Linked DNA regions of Drosophila melanogaster. The protein of the gene in region 3 interacts with the protein of the main gene of each other region in a pairwise test. Each region holds a gene or a part of one and is shown on either strand. Other genes may lie near its edges.

Region 1 (3,088 bases), 6.1 Mb from region 3:
TTTCATCAAAAATAAAATTATAACATTATTTTTCGTCATTTAAGGCTATAGGAATTTAGAGTATAGTATATACAAATAAATTAAGAAAAGGTTAATATGCGTGCAACAGTGCGTATGAGTAATGTCCATCATAAGAGGCGTGCCTTTTGGAGCCTTTAGAAAGTTTTTTCAATAGCAAGTATTTAAAGATCATATTTAATATGTATATATACATATTTGTATATATTTGGCTTTAATTTGCATTGAAATTGTGTTAATCAAATGCTTTAGTGAACATTTCTTGTTTAGCTACTTGTTTATATTAGCTGCAAGGTATTAAAAATACGAAAATAGTTTTGTTTTTTCACCATTTTATTTGTAATTGGCGATGTATTTTTTACTACTAGTTTTCATTTTAGTACAAGAGTGAGAGTATAAATATGGTGCTTTGGATTTGAGGTAAGTTTTGGCCCATCTTCGAAATTAAGGCGAGTACTTTCCTACTTTCCTACTTTCCTACTTTCCACCGTGCACATTGCAGTATTTGCAGTCCCCGTTGATTACCACATTTCCTGGATCGGGCGACAGGGGAACAGCTGCGGAAGAAATAAATAATTTATAAAGTAATCAAATAGCTATAAAATATAGTATTACTAACCGTTGGCCAGAGCCAGCAGACCGAACACAAAGACGGTGACGACTGAGAAGAACTTCATATTGATTCTGGTTTGGTTGTTGTGGCTTTGATTTGCTAAATGCACAAGCAATCGATTGAATTCAACTGATGCTCTTGGCTAGTTCGATTGGATCTTATATAGCTCAGCCTGGAATCTTGGAGCAGCAAATGTGCATTGGTTGGACGGAGGCCACTGATAACCCCCATCGAATCGAAAGCGCTTGGGAAAACACAGAAAGTTGAGCGTTCAATAGCATTTGTTTTGCGTATTTAAATCTGGAAATTCCAGTCCCGTGTTTATGGGCGTGTTATGTGAACCAACAGGTAGAAGCTAAGATTGCTTTAATGTTCGAGAGAAAACCATTGGAGTTCTTAGAAGTATTCAAAATAGTTGCAGTTCAATATAGCTTTCAATCATTTGTCTTTCTTTATAAGAACTGAATAATTTGTTTTTTGTTTTGTTTACAAACAAAGTTTGTTGTTGTTTTTTACCTCGATTTGAAGCACATGCACCTGCAAAGTTTTGCATATATTTCAATATAGAAATGTGTTGTGCTCAGTGAAATTGAAACCGGCTTATAACATTTTGAATACAAAGTCTGCACGTGCTACAAATTAAATTAACACGTATACACTTGCATTCAAAAACGAGTTCATTAAACTTACTATTGAGTATGTTTTTAAATAATAATATTCTGTAGTAATCTTTTTAACAATTACTACAAAGAAAGCGTTATATTCTTCTTGTAACCATTAAATGAAATTTTATACGCAGTCAATATAATATTTAAAAAAAAGTTAGAACTCAGGGAATAATTAACTAAATCATGTTAGAATATGGTTAATCTATAATAAATAGCTGAAATAAAATTGCATCAGCCGCTTTGTAAATTGTATTGATTTTAAAAAAAAGATGATAATTTATTATATTTTGAAAAGCACTCATTTCCTTTAATCTCCTACACAGGCAACAGTCAATAGTTCAGCTTTGTTTTAAAACAAAGGTGTACTCAATTCCAGCCAGATCGGTTTTAAATTTGTATACATTATATATATAGATTATACAGATTATAAATCTCAGCTAATCGGCACGGCTATAAAAAGAAGGCGACGCCGATCAATCGGCTTAGAGGGAATCATAATGAAGAGCCTGACGTTATTGGCGCTTTTGATCTTGGCCACGTTGGCCTTTGTCCACGGTCGGTTTGAAGGCCAAAAGGTTTTAACTTGAATATTAACCGTTCTTCTACCTAGGTGGCAAGGTGACCATCAACGGCAAGTGCGTAAACTGCTCCCATGATCAAACGACTACCACCACGCACAAGCCAACAAGTGGAAAAGGAAGTGGAGGTAGGACGACAGCCCGGCCAAGCTCGAGATCATCTCCAGCCCGCGGTCGCCCATCATGGGATGACGATGATGATGATGACCTGACCGGTGACTGGGCACTGCATCAATCGGCTGGAGGAACTCAATACATTGGCAGGCGTTCGAAGCGTCAGTCACGCGGTGGTCAGTACATCGATTTGGGCGGATCTGGCGGAAGGGGTGGAGGCGGAGGATGGGCAGGATCTGGCATAACCACCATCGATTCCAGTGGCTATCCCGGCGGAACACTGGTGCGCAATAGTGATTGCGTCGGTTGCAATATTCGCGGATAAAGTCAATAAATTATTGAAACACTAAGAAATTATCTTTTTTTTAAAACGAAGATTGTTTAAACTTATGTGGTGGAGGAATCATCTGTAAACCAATATTCGAATTTTTTCTTATAGTCTCTATAAATGATTGCGATTTAAATACAATTTACAATATAGCTTTCATTTTATTACATTTTTATTATGATGCTAAATATAAGTTTTGATTAAAAATTTCTATTTGCCACCACGAACATTGCAATTCACACAGTCGCCATTGATGATAACATTTCCTGGATCGGGTGACAACGGAATAGCTGTTGAATAAGATGATTATTTACTTAAGTAATCAACTAATTAATCTTTGTAGGTTCTACACACCATTGGCCAAAGCCAGAAGACCAAGCACAAAGACAGTGACGATTGCAAAGAATCGCATATTGATTTTCAATTAATAGATCCGGTTTTATAAGCTGAACACACCGGACAAACGATCAACTACAACTGATGCTCTCGATTAAGGGAAACCGATCTTATATAGCAGATAGTCGGATCTAGGAGTGAATCAAGTGCCATATGAGATGAGAGCGATTGATTGATAGCTGCTGACAAAATATTTTTTTCGTGGGAAATATAGATTTACACTTTTTGTTTTGATTAATTCGAAAATACTAAAAATAAAAAACATCTTTTGTTTAGTTAGAAAGGAAATAGAATCCTCTATTTGTATGTATTTCTTTGATTTGCATTTTTAATTCTATGTATTATTCCAGTAAAAAATGGTAACAGCTTTTGT
Region 2 (4,954 bases), 4.2 Mb from region 3:
GAAGTTAAAACAAAACAAAAATGAATGGTTTATACAGATATGTGAATTGGCGGACTAGAAACACTTGAGGAAACCCAAGTGGCTTATCCTTATCGAATTGATTAATAGCTACATACCTGCCAAATTTATTGGCTGCTCCAGCTCCGCCCAGCGAACCGATGGCGCCTCCGACCAGGAACACAGAAACGACGCACGACCACAAGAGATCTAGACCGCCTGCGCTGAGGTTACTCCCGTAGGTGTCGTGCAGGGTCTGATTACACCAAACTTTCATCAGCTGTAAAGATATCGTTTGAATCGGTATTCCACTCGCTGTGGTTGTCCATATCTCACCTTCGAGGGGGCGTTGATAACGCCTATGCAGTAGCCGGTGGAAACGGCGCCGCCAAATGTGGTTGCCAGGGCCACCAGCAGCAGGAGGTTGCCCCATCGCGGTTTCTGCAAAGTTTTCCGATCACGATTAGTTACTTTGGAGCAATAGTTCCCCCTGGTTGTGCCCAAAATGCGAACCCTGATAGCGGTTTAGTGCGTCATTGTGCAGGGTCATTTCGGAATTCGAATGGGGGTTGCGTTATCAGCACTCTCTGATTAATTCCAGCTTTGTCATAATCGCAATAATTGGCGCTAATTACGGCTAAACTTGACCCACGGCCAAAACTTTCCATTTCTCAGCAGGAGCATTTGGGATCATATGCGATTAGGTCGCATACTATTTATAACCGAATGGAAGACCGCAGTCGGTGTTTCTGTATAACTGATAAGCAATGGCTGGGAACTCAGCCGAAGTGTATGTACTGGGAAATCAGTTTGTTTGCCAAAATAATGAAAACGATGCGGTACTAAGTACTTGTGTACCAAAAAGGTCAAAGTTACAGTACAAAACATGGTTGTAAAATAGAAAGCTTTTAAGCTAACACTATTAAATTATATTTACATAAAAAGTCATGTCTCCACCTTACTGTTACATAATATAATCTAGTTGAATAGTGAGAATCAAACTTCCTTCGTATCTAGTGACTTGTATCTTGTCACTAACATAGGCATTTGAAATTAGTAACTTCTTAATTGCGCCCAATTTTATGGATATATATGCATATAGGAAATATTTGAAAAATCCATAAAAGTATTTTTTTTTTCTATATACATGTACTATATATATGTACTTGTTTACATATATCGTGTCAACGTAGGCTCCACTGTAGGTGAATCGACCATATACTAATGCGTCGGTTGTATGTGTGCATGCACATAAATATTTTTTCGACTTTGAAAACAACTATGCATGACAGAAAATAAAATTAATACATAGAGGAGACGCATATAGCCGAGTAGATTTACATATAAAAACAAAAGAAAGAGCGAAATATTGAAAATAAAATGCGTAAGATAAAAGAGTGGGAAACAGCATCCGGACAGAGAGCGAAAAACAACGGGATCGAAAGAAGAAACAAAGAAAATGTGCATGTGCAGAGATACTGTCCACAGGAAAACAACAACAACAAGAACCACAAAACAGCGGTGGTAGGTAGAGGGAAAATTTGGCGATCTTCCCGCTCTCTCTCTCACCTGGAAAAGAGTCTCACCTGGCTGGGATCCGTCTGCGCCGAGAGCAGTTCCACTCTGTTGGGCTGCGGGTACAATTGTTGAGCCTCCGCCGGCTGGCTTTTGGTGGCCATAACAGTGGACTTTGCCTGGTAATCACCACTTTTTGAGGAAACACTTCCCAAGGCACTCGGAGCACACAGTTACGATGTGTGCGTGTTAACACGGTTAGAACAATTGTTAGCAATTGGTGGTAAGGCAGGTAATCGGGTTCCGAAACAGTGTTGTGCAACGGACACCGAGTGTGGATTCTTAGTTTGCGATCCCCCCAGCAGTTCGGAATTCTAAACCACAATTGTTTGTAAACGGCGCACCGCCAGCAGTGCACGCGGGATTGAGTTGGAATCAAAGCGGTACGGTGCGGCAGCGTTGGAGTCGGGAGCGCGACTGAATTTCCCCAGCTGAGCGATGTTGGTGGAGAAAAAGCTTTCGCCAAGAACGAATCGCCACCACAATAACGCTTTGGGTGCCGGCAACAGATAAGGAATAATAAATAAGTCAAGCCGAAGTAATAATACCCTTGTATACAATTCAACAAGTTTTCATCACCAACTAAACATTTTCCAGATTGCATAGAATTTTATATTTTAGCATGGTATTTAACGAAATGTAACTATAAAAGATTTCCAGAACTAAAAAAAAACACTTTAACACGATATTTTTAAAAGTCCCAAATATTTCCCAATAGCAACAGTTTCATAATATCCAACTCATTGCTAGAGTGTAAAAAGCTTCTTGCCGCTTTTGTTGCAAGAAATAGCCAAATTAAACTTTTTGGTAGCAAAGAAATATTGGCTAATAAAAAGAACACAATAACATCAAAACAGAAAATGTAATAGGAGAGTAAAACCTTTTATGGACTAACTTGTTTCCTTGTTCAGATTGTAAAAATTGGGCAGCGCTCCTTCCCGAATAATTTGAAAACTGCGCGTGCTGTATCGATAGAAAAGCAATCTTTTAGTTAGTGATGCAAAATCTTTTGTGACACCGAGCGCCAAAAAGGGAAAATGAAATTTGATGAGATTCTTGTTAAGGCTAAACAAGTAAACTGTCTACTTTAATTTATTTCACAGATACCAAAAAGATTTGCCGGTTAACAGTATACATTTTTAAATTCGTGAACTAAGCCCTTGCGTACGGGACCATCTCTAGTCGAAAGTGCCATCTCTACGCCCTCGACCAGCTGTTCAGCTTTTTGTTGACGTTGTAGTTGAAACCGCAGCGTCTTTAACCACCGTTTAGGTTTAGCATTAGTTACTAAGAAGATTGATCGCTATGTCGGCGGTGGCCTACGACTCACTGCTGTCAACGACGGCGGTGATCAGCACCGTCTTCCAGTTCCTCTCCGGCGCGTAAGTCATCCATAAACCAATGCAACTAGCATTGTCCAAAGTATCATCAACTGTTTAATTTCCTTATACTTGCAGCATGATATGCCGAAAGTACATCCAGAAGAAAAGCACGGGGGACTCTTCCGGAGTTCCCTTCATATGCGGATTCTTATCGTAAGTAGAAACTGCCGACTTGGCACAACTGAGATAAATTCGAATTGGTCGCGCTTGACGGGACTACTGGTTCTTAAAATAAGAAATTCATGCACTAGAGTTTAGAGACTTAGGATTGAACCATAGCTAATTATTCTAAGTTCCAGGTCTCTCAATGATATTAGATTTACATGCATATATTAGGAAAAAAGCCATTTTCATTCCAAAGTTCACGGATTTGGCATACAAAATCAATTAGATATTATACAGCATCCATATTTAAAGACACACATCGTGTGAACTTCGCCTGCTTGGCTGGCTAACACCCCTGTGTTGTTCGGCTTTTAACCAACTTAAATAATTGAAAATATTTGTACAGGTGCAGCTTTTGGTTGCGCTACGGTGTCTTAACCAACGAGCAGAGCATTGTGCTGGTCAACATCATCGGATCGACGCTCTTTCTGGTCTACACGCTGATCTACTATGTGTTTACCGTCAACAAACGTGCCTGTGTAAAGCAGTTTGGGTTTGTTCTGACTGTTCTGGTGGTGGTCATTGTCTACACCAATCGGCTGGAAGATCAGCGCGATCGAATGATACACGTCACAGGTACGAGCACGTTTTCGAATACACTTCGGCAATGTCAGGTTTGCTAAATTCCTGAATAAAATTTCAGGAATTGTGTGCTGCATCGTGACCGTGTGTTTCTTCGCCGCCCCGCTGGCTAGCTTGCTGCATGTGATACGGGCGAAGAACTCCGAGAGCCTTCCCCTGCCTCTGATAGCCACGTCCTTCGTGGTCAGCCTGCAGTGGCTTATCTACGGTATACTGATATCGGACTCATTTATCCAGGTGAACCACTTCCCACGACTCGCCAGCCAGACAGCGAATTACGACGGCGTTTGTTTGTTTTGCTTTTTCAGATTCCCAACTTTCTGGGCTGCATACTGTCGCTGCTGCAGTTGGGTCTGTTCGTCCTCTACCCGCCGCGAAGCTACTCCGGCCACGGCTACAAGCTGGTCGAACAGGCAGTGCCGTTTTAGGCAGCTAATCGGACCAAGCCACGCATTTCGCTTTGGCCTCCGAGCGTGCCGCACACAGGGTTTATACATACATGCTGCTTGCTTAGGCGCCAGGCTTATTTACTATAGACATACGTAAAAGTAAGCCTATATTTATTGTAAAGTATTTATTTAATCCCGAGGATTTGCCTCGAATATGCCGCTACTTACGTTGCCTTGCTGTTCGGTGGCGCCCATTTAATTGTACCCTTTAGAGCCCGTATTCCTAATAAACGAACACACGGGAAACGATTGAGTAACCGAAGTACTTGTTGATTTCAACTAATATAAGCACAAGGCCCGAATTCGATTCGGCACGGTCTGTACAGATTGAGTGCGGATTTCTGACTGGGAATTCTAATGAGTGAACCCGATGCACTTTGCTGGTCTGCGGTCATTGGTATCGATAAGCTGATATGCTGATATTCCGGGCCATAAACTGTTGAATTAAGCGACCGTATACTGCCTGTTTTGCACCTCTGATTTAATGAAAATGTTCGTGGGCGCGGGGGTGGGGGGTCTGATCAATGAAATCGGCTTGTCTTAATTCAATAATAGTGCTTATCGACCTGCGTGGAATTAGCCAGTAAACATGCAACCAGATATGGCGGTAATCTTTATTTGGCGCCCAGCATCGATAAGGTGGCATTTTTGGGGGGCGGAAATGATTAGGCGAGATCATAAATATTTTCTCTTACAGATTCAAATTTGAAGTGGAGAGACGGTTATCACTCGTGCGCTTACCAATACTGGCTTGATGGTTTTATGGGTATGTGCGCCGTAGTGAGCAACGGCCACACTGTCAAA
Region 3 (6,100 bases):
TTTGTTGGGTGACTCTTGTTTGGAGCATGCACCGCACAACTGTTCGATCTCCTCGACGATTAAATTCATTTTTTCTTCCTGGAGACACAATAAAATAGTTTCACATTGCTAGTGCATCATAGCGGTTGCACAAAAACATACCACTAGGTTAGACAACTTTTTTTGAGTTTCCTCACGCTTTTCACTAGCCTCGAGATCATTTTTAGCCCTCTGAATTCTTGGTATATGGTCGTAGATTAACAAAACCCCCTGATCTACAATCGCACGACACCTGGTTTTCAAGTCATTCATACTTTCGGCGGCTAGAAAATAAAAGTATGCAATTGTAAGCGAAAGAAGGATAATTCAAGGATAACAATTCATTCAATCGAAGACGTAAAATCAAAACGAACTTACGAATACTCTTGGGCAATCGAAGTAGATCATCATGGTGGACCACAAGCTTGCATTCATCGTTTACAGTCAGACCCACAAACTTGAAGACCCCTTGATTCCGGAGCTCCGAACCCATTAACCGGATCTTGTGCATAAACTCGGACTGCAGGTTCTCCAGTTTTTTTTTCTGCGTATCAAAGACCCGCATCCGGTTCATCTCCAGGACACGGCGATGCGACATCTTTTCAGGCTTCTTTACATTTTGATAAGGTTCTGTGGACGGCAATAATCAGAGAATTGGACCACGTTTCAAATATTCGCGATACCCACCGCATGTCGTTGACTTAACCAATTGTGCTGACTGGGCATGCGTCTTTATGGGAACCACGTTCCGCTTGGGGGGATTCAACTCATCGATATCAGTTTTCCGATCGGGCTCAACTACTTTATGCTCGGGCTCGACCCGTCGATTGGGCAACGAATACGTACTGACACACGGGCGCGCTTTCGTCGAAGAAGTAACCCGTTCCAGAGAAGTTTTTCGCGAATGGATAGACGACCGACTCGCTCCACGCCTATTTGGAATGTGACTGAGCCTACCTTTGTTTGGGCTTCCGTCGCCATTCTGGGTGGGAGGAGTAGAGAAGACGCCACCACAAGAAGAAGTGCGAGACTGGGACGGGGATGTAAAGCATTTGAAAAAACTAAACCCTTTTCTTCTATCTCACTCACCCATGTAGCTTTGTCTGAGGCTTGCTTTTCCGCCTTTCCAGCTGTCCTCAGCAAGAATGCTTTGTTACCTAACAAGGATAACGAGCATTTGAAGCACACATTCGTATAGCGTTCAAGGTACATGTACTTACTACGAACTGAACGCGGCGTCACGCTGGAAGAATTCATATCTAAAGTTTCGGAAATCAACGCTTTTTTGTAAACGATTTTTGTGTTCAAAATGAGGAAAAAATAGTATAGAAAATTTGTTTCTAAATATTTCCAGTTGAACTACGTCTAGTGTAAATGGTACAAAAATGCTTTCTGACCAATCCAAACGAGGTGGTTCGTGGAAGTAACATGAATTCAAACTCAGAGCACACTTGTTCAGTTCCAATGTACCCGGTGTTTTTGGGGTCTGTTTGTTTAGAATGAGCGTATGAAAACTAATGGTTTCTATCAACAAATGCGAATCTGCAAAAGAAGCGGAAACTAAGCTAAATGGGAGGGAAAAGTAGAGAGCAGTTTTTCCCTCTCTGAGGTTCTCCATGTAATCCATTCGTCGGTCCCGAATGATGCACATCGTCCATCCAATAATCGACTCGGCGAAATTTGCATTCAGTTGCTGTTCGTGCGTCCACCGAGTAAGTTCTTAGTTCGGATTTCCCTCTAAAAGCATATATTTCGAGATTGTTTCATTTACGATCCATCAATACTGAGTAACAAGAGTATGAAAAAACAATCTGTACCACCTTGCTATTAGTTTATTTTCTCAAAATAACTTAATCAACTGGATTAACATACATGATGTGCTAGTGAAAGTGGGTGCTACAATATAAGTGCAGTACTGAGGTGAAGAAGCCCTAAAAGTGACTTTAATGATTTAGATCCATGGGAAATGGACGTTTGTCACCCCCTTGTATTCGAATTCGCTGTAGACAGTCGGCGCGTTTTTCAATTGAATTTAATCAGTGACGTAGACGGTCTATATAGTACAGACTATATATTGTATATACGCAATGCGATCCGATTTTCAAGGGGTAAACAACCAACAACCCGCCTAGTTCAAGTTCCGCATGGCAATTGAGCTGGCATAATTTGGATCTCAAAGGAAATGGAAAGTGTCTGCGAAAATAGCAATATGCACTATGTGTGACATCACGCAAAGTCATTCAATTGAAGGCTATTTCTACGAATTCAAGTTCAGTTTGAAACTGGAAGTAGGCTCCATTGGTTGCCATTGACATTCGATACCAATGCGGATAATTAAGACAATTAAGTGCTGGCCAGAAATAGTTTTTTCCCCCACAACCACGTGGCTGCATCAAATGATTGTAAATTTGTATTCCCACTCAATTTTGCATTGCAGCTCTTTGAAATGAAAGCTCTGGAAGGTTTCACTATTCTTCTCGCATTAGTGGGTGTTATTCCCCGGATCGAGGGCTGCATTAGGGTCCCACCGGGAGTCACAGCAGCCAAGTCACCGGTGGATGATAACTATGTGCTGTCCGTAAACGGAAATACGCAGAGTTATGTGCCCGGTCAAAGGTATAATGGTGAGTGCATTAAATTAAGCATTAAATTAAATTAAATTTACAAATTTCTAGATTTTTCTTTCAATTCTCTAATCTTTCGCTGCTCGTTTTCAGTTAGCCTCAGTGCATTTTCTGGCTTGTCCTTCATTAGCTTTATGCTGGCCCTGGATTTGGAGAGTGGTGACGGCGATGGTGACGCCAATGCCCTGGGCACCTGGGAGATCGCCGATCTCGCCGAGACCCGTTTCAGTCCGCGCTGCCCAAATCTTGTCGAGAATACCAACACGAACGTGAAGACACGCGTGGATGTGTTCTGGGTGGCTCCATCGAGTCCGGGACAGGGCTGCATCCTGCTGAGGGCTACGGTGATGCAGCATCGAGATGTGTGGTTCATGGATGATGGCTTCCTTACCAAGCGTATGTGCGAGGAGGAGGTGGACGACATTGACACCCAGCCCAGCATCGTGGATCCGTGCTGTGCCTGTGACGAGGCCAAATATGAGGTGGGACTCTTTTAACTCATTATTGAAATGGTATTAACACCTCCTTACTTCAGCTTACCTTCGAAGGCAAGTGGTCGCGTCACACACATCCCAAGGACTTTCCAGCGAATAGCTGGCGCACCAGATTCAGCGATATCATTGGTGCCTCGCACACACTGGACTACAGATTCTGGCAGTATGGAGAGCTGGCCAGCGAGGGGCTGCGTGAGGTGGCGGAGCATGGCTCCACAAGGACCTTGGAGAGTGAGCTGAAGGATCAGAGCGAACACATTCGCACGATCATCAAGGCAAGGGGCATTGCCTATCCGAATGTTACGGGCAAAACATTTGCCGTTTTTCGCGTCGACTCCAACCACCATTTGATCTCCCTCGTATCAATGGTGGATCCCTCTCCAGACTGGATCGTTGGTGTATCCGGCCTCGAGCTATGTCTGCCCAACTGTTCCTGGGTGGAGAACAAGGTGCACAACCTATATCCCTGGGATGCGGGCACCGATAGTGGTCCATCATATATGGTAAGACGATTTCCATGATTTAGTCTTCAGTAGAGTCAATCACGAATACTTTTCAGTCCGCTGACCAGCCACAGGTGCCTCCAGATGTTGTGCGCCGCATCAAATCAAATTTCCCCAACGATCCCCGTTCGCCCTTTTATGATCCCACTGGTGCCCAGATGAAGCCATTGGCCACCCTGCACATCAATCGAAGACGACTCTACGAAAAGAACTGCGAGTCCTCCGATTGTAAGTTAAATGCAACCATATATTGATGTTGTGAATATACATACTATATACTTTAATCCTGTAGCGGAACAGGTACCGCCGGAGTGCGCCACAAACTCGTGGTCCAGATGGGATGAATGCACCACAAAGTGCGGTCCCGGCAAGCAATACAGAATCCGAGAGTTCAAGAACCCTGCATTGGCTTCGGTAATTAAGACGACATATATAATTTGGATCCCATACTATATATACATTTTGACACCTACCTTAGCGTCATCGTTGCAACAATGCCCTGCGTGAGGAGAAGAACTGCGTGGGACACAAGTGCGCTGGCTTCAATGAGGAGACAGCTGAAGGCGGCGAGCCGGAGGTGGCGCCATCACCAGGTAGCAGCGACGATCCCCAGTGCGGTCTGTCTGACTGGTCGGAGTGGTCTTCGTGCACCGTGACTTGTGGAACCGGCGAAATGACCCGATCCCGACACTATCTAAACAAGAAGGCCAAGAAGAAGTGCCAGAAGGCAAGCAGGGCGCGTCTGCATGAGACCAAGATTTGCGAGGCAATGGAATGCGGTGGGGACATCGAGAACGAAGGTGGTGCTGGGGAACCGGAGGAGGAACAGGCCGGTGGCGACGGAGGTGGATCCGCTGAGAAACGCTCCATATTCCGCAACTTCGAGAGTTACAGTCAGCATCGGGAGGATTACATACCACCGGTTTGCGGGGTCACTCCATGGTCGGATTTCTCGCCGTGCATGGGGCCATGCGGTGGACATGGAAAGCGGCAACGTATTCGCAAGGTGTGGAATAACAACCAGGTGTACGGAGTAACGGATCCCAATGATGACGGCCAGGATCCCTGTCGACACATCAAGCTGCACGAGGAGGTGAACTGCACCAATCCTAGCTGCGATACCATTGTTCCCGGCTTCTGCTACGACGAGCTGACCGACAGTCCGTGTCGGGATAACGATGTGGCCAACTTCTGGTACTACGACCATGTGAGTGACCAGTGTGCCATCTATTGGTCGGATCGTTGTGATACAAATCGCAACAAATTCAAGTCGAAGGAGGAGTGCGAGGAGACATGTCGCCTGCCGCGCCACAAACAGGAACTGCAGCACGATGGCATTCCAGCCATTGATTGTCTCGTCTCTGACTGGGTTTCCCACAGTTGCAACGCCTCCTGCGGCGATGGCTTCCAATTGCGAACGCGTCGGGTGCTCCGTACTCCGAAGTATGGAGGCAAGCCATGTCCCAAGCACCTGGTACGTTTGGATCGCTGCTACCAGCGGTGCGATGACATGTACTCAATCAGTGGACGGGGATTTGGAGAGCGAAGGCATGTGGTAAGAGCTCCGCAACCGGAACCGCAGGACGAGTGTCGCTACTCGGAGTGGTCCGCCTGGACACCATGCACCGCCACGTGTGGCGATAATGCCGTTCGCCAACGAACCCGAACCCTAATGAACACCGATCTGAGCTACAAGTGCAAGGATCGCGTCCGCATGGAAAAGTGCGTGATGATGCCTTGCCAGCTGACCAGCAACGATGATCCAGAGCGGTGGTGAACATACCATTAACTGCTACAAGTATTAGTTCTAATCCAACTATGTAATCATTACCAATGGATATCGTTAAATATATGAAAAATTCCAGACTACCTACACTAGCTCTTCTCGCAACAGATTAAATATGTATTAAAAACAATAAAACAGAATTGTGTTCGCGTGGTAATTCCAATTCCGATTGAGTTTAACCTTGACCCAGTTCCATTAAGCAAACAGTGGCCAGTTTACGAGTGATTTTTCGCCGGGTTGCAAGTTCAAAGAACCCGGGCACAATTCATCAATTGAAAAGCTTGCCATAAAAACAAACCATTCCTAATTGAAGACAACTCAATCAAGATGCCATAAGCTGTCAACGCCGAGAGCGCCATTTAAGGGATAATTGATAAATTGGAAATGCTCATCAATTAATGGAGATGGCTAGCCATCAGTTTTGGTCAGTCGCCGTTGAGCCTCGACCCAGTACGGATCGCTAAGATTGAGAAGAGATGCTTCGCCATATCGTGCTCCTCATTCTGCTGTCTTCCGAAGTCAGAGGAGTCTGCAATCGGATACCCCAAGGTGCCAGTGGCCCTCGATCGCCTGTGGATGATAACTTTAAGATCCTTATCGATGGCAATCCAGAGACCTATGTGCCAGAACATCAGTACAATGGTGAGAGTCTCGAGTTGTCCTGAAGCTTTTACT

What was found. The genes of interacting proteins can lie anywhere in the genome.
Region 1: the proteins of CG17739 (region 3) and BomBc2 interact in a two-hybrid assay, tested with the Drosophila melanogaster proteins (one large-scale study listed by BioGRID).
Region 2: the proteins of CG17739 (region 3) and slv interact in a two-hybrid assay, tested with the Drosophila melanogaster proteins (one large-scale study listed by BioGRID).

Annotation. Positions count from the first base shown.
Region 1 is NT_033778.4:18,384,280-18,387,367, reverse strand, and holds BomBc2 (bomanin bicipital 2), read left to right. Parts: upstream 1-1,778; 5' UTR 1,779-1,796; coding exon 1,797-1,854; intron 1,855-1,909; coding exon 1,910-2,316; 3' UTR 2,317-2,529; downstream 2,530-3,088. Other genes in the region: BomS2 (bomanin short 2), read right to left, coding at 496-575, 638-695; BomS4 (bomanin short 4), read right to left, coding at 2,530-2,609, 2,674-2,731.
Region 2 is NT_033778.4:8,080,015-8,084,968, reverse strand, and holds slv (saliva), read left to right. Parts: upstream 1-1,676; 5' UTR 1,677-1,694; exon of another isoform or gene 1,695-2,110; intron 2,111-2,675; 5' UTR 2,676-2,877; coding exon 2,878-2,954; intron 2,955-3,029; coding exon 3,030-3,107; intron 3,108-3,465; coding exon 3,466-3,695; intron 3,696-3,762; coding exon 3,763-3,938; intron 3,939-4,009; coding exon 4,010-4,129; 3' UTR 4,130-4,410; downstream 4,411-4,954. Other genes in the region: sut1 (sugar transporter 1), read right to left, coding at 117-277, 334-438, 1,584-1,676.
Region 3 is NT_033778.4:12,304,824-12,310,923, forward strand, and holds CG17739 (uncharacterized protein), read left to right. Parts: upstream 1-1,704; 5' UTR 1,705-1,730; intron 1,731-2,455; 5' UTR 2,456-2,464; coding exon 2,465-2,642; intron 2,643-2,735; coding exon 2,736-3,124; intron 3,125-3,177; coding exon 3,178-3,639; intron 3,640-3,695; coding exon 3,696-3,867; intron 3,868-3,931; coding exon 3,932-4,053; intron 4,054-4,117; coding exon 4,118-5,416; 3' UTR 5,417-5,589; downstream 5,590-6,100. Other genes in the region: salto, read right to left, coding at 1-78, 142-302, 397-648, 706-1,048, 1,108-1,175, 1,239-1,275; CG30203 (uncharacterized protein), read left to right, coding at 5,902-6,067.